2 linked regions of the Caenorhabditis elegans genome follow. The protein of the gene in region 2 purifies or fractionates together with the protein of the main gene of each other region. This does not show direct contact. Each region holds a gene or a part of one and is shown on either strand. Other genes may lie near its edges.

What was found. The genes of interacting proteins can lie anywhere in the genome.
Region 1: the proteins of C30H6.8 (region 2) and oig-2 fractionate together in Caenorhabditis elegans (co-fractionation; one large-scale study listed by BioGRID). This does not show direct contact.

The regions. Positions count from the first base shown.
Region 1 is NC_003280.10:13,006,059-13,010,148, reverse strand, and holds oig-2 (Ig-like domain-containing protein), read left to right. Parts: upstream 1-1,984; 5' UTR 1,985-1,985; coding exon 1,986-2,095; intron 2,096-2,139; coding exon 2,140-2,230; intron 2,231-3,364; coding exon 3,365-3,490; 3' UTR 3,491-3,536; downstream 3,537-4,090.
Region 2 is NC_003282.8:17,380,664-17,383,585, forward strand, and holds C30H6.8 (protein-disulfide reductase), read left to right. Parts: upstream 1-1,665; coding exon 1,666-1,821; intron 1,822-1,897; coding exon 1,898-2,115; intron 2,116-2,164; coding exon 2,165-2,327; 3' UTR 2,328-2,416; downstream 2,417-2,922. Other genes in the region: dlat-2 (2-oxoacid dehydrogenase acyltransferase catalytic domain-containing protein), read left to right, coding at 1-27, 72-270, 316-420, 466-603, 648-868, 1,104-1,241, 1,328-1,484; C30H6.12 (BESS domain-containing protein), read left to right, coding at 2,773-2,812.

The DNA of each region.
Region 1 (4,090 bases), on a different chromosome or scaffold from region 2:
TTGTTTTTTTCGGAATTTTCAAATTTCTAGAAAATTTAAATACTTCTGAAACTGTAGTTTTTTGAATTTTCAGAATATAATGAATATCAGAGGTTTTGAATTGTTAGTTGTTTTTAGATACTGAAATAATTTTTGGCGATTTTCGGCTTTCAGAATTTTCAGAATATTTTGATTATTTGAGGTTCTGAATTGTTGGTTTTTTGAAAGATTTTTCCATGAAACTTTTTTGCGATTTTCTGCAAAAATTCCCACGAAAAATCTCAAAACTGGAAGGTATAAATGCGGTGACAAATATTAAAAAAAAACAATTCTCTGATTCCGTACAATTTTGCAAAAATTTCCAGCAAAGCGACAGGTATCTTCTGATCTCATTCACTTCAAGTTAACGTCTATATTCTTTTCAACTCAGCGGGCTCAAGTCCTCTTGTGTCTTTTATAATTACATGTAGCATTAGGTTTCCACAACGACCACGTCTCCGTGCTCTTTTTGAAACACCCATAATTTACATTCCATCAGACAGCTCGATTCTGATTGAAGTTTTCACTTTTTTCGAAATTTATGTATTGCTCCCCCCGGGTTACAAGCATATGTATAGTCGATTTTGAAACGATTTTGTTTCACTGAAAGTTTAAAAAAATGTTTTTTGAAACCTAGAAAAATGTGTTTTTTATTATATTTTCCCCAGAGTTGCATTTCTTTCTAGCAAATTAGAATGCCCAGAGTAGTTCAAAAAAATGTTTTGCCCCTTGTCTTTGTGATATCTTTTTCCGTACCTTCCTCCAAACTTCTCACCACAACCATTATATGGGCGGAGCCTAATAAACCCCTCCTGTTTCACAATTCAAATTTCCAGGTACATCATGTCATCAAAAGAGCTCTATAGACTCAAAACTTTCGACGATCACTATTTCGAAATGTCCACCGAATCAATCGGAGATCCTCTCCCAGATGGCAAGCCAAGTCCAACAGGGAAAAGCTTCCAACTATGTGATACCAGTTCCGAACGTCAAAGGAATTACCATGAAGATGGTTGTCACCTGGTGCATCCGTCATCGAGTCGAAGTTCCGAGCACTTCTACGTGGGAAGTTGACTATGTTAAATCATTGGATCGAGAGGAACTGAAAGATGCGATATGGGCCGCCAAGTATCTTCGAATGCCAATTCTTATTAATATTACTAGTTCTGAACTGTTTTTGCGAGCCGAAAATACACCGGTAGAGAGGTTAGATGAAGTGTATCCGATGCCGCACTGTGTAGGCAGAGCTCCGGAGAGAAGCACCAAAATCACCATTCACAAATTCAAATAAACTTGGATACAATTATTTTTGTTTTCTTTTAGTACTCAGTTCATAAATATATTAAAGTGGGATCCATCTTCGTTTTTTAGTGATTTTACAAAAGTTTTATAGTAGAAAAAAACAGAAAATAAACTGTTGCGTTCAATGCTGAAACATTTTTCAATGTTTGAAATGATAATTTTATTCGAGATTTCCAATGAATAAATAACTTTTCATAGAAGGTAGTTTTGGGAAAAAAAATTGGAAATTTTCGCGTCCAGAAAGTATGGAGTCCTATCAATGACTGAAAATATAAAATACTCTATAAGAATAAGAAATTGATATGTTAATAATCAGAAAAATACAATAATTAAAAAAATTCATAGAATCAAGTGAATTATTAACCAAAACTTTAATTCTATGCCATTTCAATTGCTGTTCATCGCGTGTATCGAATTCATTGACTTGCTTTGAACCAACAAATCAATCAATGCCCTCAACATTTTTCTCAATATTATTAAACATGTTGGCTTCAGAAAAAAGTGCTCTTTCATCTCCCTCCGCCTACTCATCTCTCCATCTCTGCCCCTCAAATCTCTCAGCTTCCGTCACCTGTTACTGACGGAATTGATCAGTGAGAAGCTCTTCGAGCGTTTTCATTACATATGTTCAGCCATCTTATTAGTTCTAAAAGGTTAGTTTCAGAATGGTTTTGGCTCCGTTTTTCGAGAAAGCTCCATCGCTTATCATTGCTCCAGACGGATCAGTTCTGTTCGAATGCATCTGTAATGCGAATCCACAACCAACAGTTAAATGGTAAAAGATTTTGGTTTATGAACCCCTAACCTTAACTACTGTAGGTTTTTGAAAGACAAAGAGCTGACTGGTGATCGTTACGTGTCAAAGATCAAGAAGATGGTTGGCAAGTTCACAGTTACACTGCATATCAAGGTAAGTAAGATTTTTGTAATACTGATAAACTGATCGGGATTCTAGATTAAGAAGAGAATAAGAAGAAAGGAACGGATAGAACACTTGATCTGGTTTTTAGAGGGAAACTTAAATTGTAAGAACATGGTGTAATATTGACCTTCGAAACACTTGCCTCGAGATTTTGTTTCACATTTATTTTAAAGTAAAAAACTTCAGAAACAATTTATTGACCTAGAAAATGTCGGCCATTCTTTTAAAAACCGTTCCTGGAAAGTTTGGGATGGTCTCCGGCAGGAACAAAAATTGAAAATAGGCTATACAATTTCGGAAAGTTTTTTTTTTCATTTATCGGAATCGAACATATATTTAAGGGCTGTGCGGTATTTTTTCGGCAAACCCACAATAATGTTTATTTCAAAATGATAATCCAACTTTTTTCATGCAAAATTAACATAGAAACGTAGAGAAAGGTTTGTTCTATCTGGAAAAAATACAAATTTTTTTGAAAAGTTTGAAAAAAAAGTTCAAATAGTGTCTGAAAGTTGTCGTTTGTCTAAACACTTTTAACGGCACTTTTTTGGCAAACGTCAACTTTCATGCACTATTTTTGATTTTTTAAAATTTTCCAACAAAAATAAATATGCACCATAACTGGCTAGATTCACCGTCGATGCACCATATCAAGTTAGATGCACCGTAACTGGTCAAATGTACCATAACTAGTTAAATGCACCATAACTGGTTAGATTCACCGTAACTGGTCAAATGTACCATAACTTGTCAGATGCACCATAACTGGGTAGATTCACCATCGATCATCAGCATAATTCACATACAATTTTTTTGAAATTCAGCTCAAAAATGAAGCTTGATGATGAAAATTAGGCAATGGGAATATTCATACTTTTTGAAAATAAAATTACTTTATATTAAAAATTTCAAAAAGTTGCTAAAAAATTGCCTCAATGCCGTAACACCCATCGGCATACTCACTTGGCACATTTTAAATCAAATGCCAATTTTGATCACTTTTTCATAATCTTCACTAAAATAACGCTATCTTCTAAAAGTACAAATACTTCTCTATATTTTCATATGAATTTCCAGAAATGAGCATTCTAGATAAGTTAATAACAAAGAAAATGTTTCCAGAACCCTACCCAAGAGGACCAAGGAGTTTACAAAGTGACTGCTACAAACACCCATGGCTCACACTCCGTTGAGCAGCAGTACATCTACAAATGCACTGGAAAAGAGGTTTTCAAGACTCTTGACTAAATTCTGCTAGATTTCTTTAATATTTCTTCCAATAAACTTTTCCGTCGCTATACTGTATCTTAATATCACTCGTAGAAGAAACAACGTGGTTATCATGTGATAAGAAGGTCAGAAATAGAGAGAAAAGATGTCAAAAATACTAGGAATTTTGAGTGTAGAGTTCAGAAAAACAGATTGAACAAAAAACGAAGTATACCCGATCAGGGAGATCGGTTTTTGGAAGGAAATAAAAATGATCACATGTGCAGAATAGTAAAAATGTTGATTGAGAAAATTTTGTTGGCGACATGTTGGAGTCAGATCTGTTCGAGAGTTCAAGTTGATAAGAATTCTAGTTTAAAAGTTTAGACTTTTGGTTTGGACATCTGAACTACAGGCTGATAGTTTAAACTGTAGGTACAGAATAGTATGAAAACCGTACGAGCAAACTTTGATGTCAATTTCCTTTGGTAAACATTCAGAATCAAAGATGGGAATGTTTGAAGACTTTTATGAAGTGTGCCAAATATAAAAGTACAATTTTTCAAAAAAAAAAAAAATTGAAAATTTTAATTTTGCGGCAAAAAGTGGCGCTAATTTTGTCGCCTAAAGTCTGAACAA
Region 2 (2,922 bases):
CCTTTCTACTGCTGCACAAAACCAAGGGTAAGTGTGTAAAATAGATTTTTCTATTTAATAGTATTTTCCAGAGCTTGCGGTCCTGCAGTCAAGCTTCTTCTGATTCAATATGGTCTGGAAAATCGAAAAATTGATGGAACAGGCCCAAAAAACAAAAATATTCTGAAAGGCGATGTTATGAAAATAGTTGAAGCTGAAAAGCTGAAGCCGGTGGCTCATCATGCACATGCTCCAAAAGAAACACATATTGAAAATAAATCTATTGAAAAGGTTTGGAAAAATGTTTCAAAAATTACATATTGTTTTGTTTTGCAGAAATCAGACATTTTCGGCGCCAACAATCGCAGTCTCCGTCATCACCAAGATATTCCTCTCAGCAATATTCGAGCAACAATCGCAAAACGATTGACAGCTTCTAAAGTAAAAATTCGAAATGTTATTATTGGAGAAAATATTTTATTTCAGCAGCAAATTCCTCACGAATATCAAGGTGTTGACGTTCGAATTGACGATATTCTGGCGTTGAGACAGAAATTGAAAAAATCCGGAACTGCTGTTTCGCTCAACGACTTTATCATAAAAGCCGCAGCCCTTGCACTGAGGGTAGGCTTTTCAAAATTTCTTCGTAAATGAGAGCTCTATTTCAGTCCGTGCCGACAGTAAATGTTCGATGGACTCCAGAAGGAATCGGTCTCGGATCAGTCGATATTTCGGTCGCTGTGGCTACTCCAACCGGCCTTATCACTCCAATTGTAGAGAATTCTGATATTTTGGGCGTTTTGGCGATTTCTAGCAAAGTGAAGGAGTTGTCGGGATTGGCGCGAGAAAGCAAATTAAAACCACAACAGTTCCAGGGAGGATCTTTTACGTGAGATTTATTCTATTTGTTTCGGTTACTTCAAATATAATTACAGAAATTATTGAAACGTTCACAACGTTCAAAAAATGTATCCACATCAAACAACTTCTAGAGATCTTTGAAGTTTTTTATGTTTCTGTTCTAATTTCTCGTAAGAGAGAAGAATTGATAAAGAAATCACATGATAATCATGCAAATTTAAAAGCTATCATCCCGAAATGATACAAAAATTAGAAAATTTCAGAATTTCGAATCTTGGAATGTTCGGAAGTGTGACCAACTTCACAGCCATCATAAATCCACCGCAATGTGCCATTTTGACGATCGGAGGAACTCGTTCTGAAGTTGTATCTGTTGATGGACAATTGGAGACACAAAAATTGTAAGGACTGATACCTAGGAAATTAAAAAAAATCTCTGCCATCAAAATTAAATAATCCCATCAGATTAATATGTATTTTTTTCTAGAATGGGTGTCAATCTTTGTTTCGACGGACGAGCAATCTCCGAAGAATGTGCAAAACGATTCCTTCTTCACTTCTCCGAATCGCTTTCTGATCCGGAATTGCTCATTGCTGAACCACTTTCTCCAGAACTCGATTTTGATTTTTCGCGTTTATTGTAGTTTCGAATTAGACAGGATTCTCATACTCTTCATAGCACCGATGTACTCTAATATTAGATAAAATGAAGTCGAATTTTTAATTTGAATGCAATTCGAAATTTGAAAACACTTTCCGCGTGAATCGCCCTAAAAATATCGCGTCGTCCAACATTTTCTTCCACAATTTTCGATTATTTTCAAGATGTCCCCTTCACTTCTTGGTTCATCATTTCTTCGCTCAGCTTCTGGCAACTTCACAAAGTTCGCAAGTATCCGAAATGCACACTTTTTGTCATCGGTTCCAATGAAGAAGCGTGGAGTTGATGGAAATCTACCAAAAGATTATTTCGAAAATAAGGTAGGACTGAATAATTTAAATCACCTATTTACGTTGCAAAATTTATTTTCAAAAATTGAAAAAAAAAGAATTTCAGACAGTAGTTGTCTACTTCTCAGCTGGATGGTGTGGATCCTGCAAATTTCTGACTCCAAAGATCAAGAAATTCTACAATGCTGTAAAAGAATCGGATGCTGGAAAGAATCTGGAAATCGTATGGGTGTCGAAGGACAAAGAAGCAGCCCACCAAGAAGAATACTATGAGAAGAATCTTCCAGACTGGCCATATATTCCATTTGGAGATGAAAATATTCAGTGAGAGAAATTTCCAAAATTTATACTGAAAAAAATTATAATTTTTCAGAAAGCTATCGGAAAAGTACAAAGCAGTGGTGATACCGGTTCTGAAACTCGTTAACTCCAATGGAGATGTCGTTCATGATCGTGTCCGTGCTGACGTAGAAGCTGGAATCAAGGCGGATCCTGTGAAGACTATGGAGGAATGGAAGAAATTGTTGAATCAGTGATTTACACAGATGACTCAACTAGACTTGAATATTATGTACATTTTAGTAGAGAAAACATTGATTATGGGTTCTTTTAAGTAAATAATTTCCATTACAATTTGTTCTTTTTCTCACCAATATTTTCCAGACGAACACTAAATACAAAAAATGCATTCTCGAAAATTCTCACATATATTCCCCATATACATCCTGTTATTCTCTCCCATTCCGCTCACTGAACAACAGCATCAGAAATAGAGAGTCTGAACCTACACGACAACGAAAATAATGATAATGAAACGAGAAAAGCACTAAAAATGGGCAAGGCGGTGTGTGGTTGCTATGGGATTCCATCTCTTTCCCCTCTAACTGATTAGAGAAGCAGTCGGGCAAAAAAAATATTGAAAGGAAAAGTACGCGGTTTTGTTTGGCTTCGTCTCATTTTTTCGTATAGTCTGATGTTCTAATGTTGATGGCAAAAGACATTATTGAAATGGAGGAGAGCGGTGGGTTAACTTCTAAAATTGCTATTTTTATTTCAAAATCTTAGTTTGTGGTAATAAAAATATGAGAGGACGTATGGCAGATACATAATAAGTATATGTATTTTTAATGC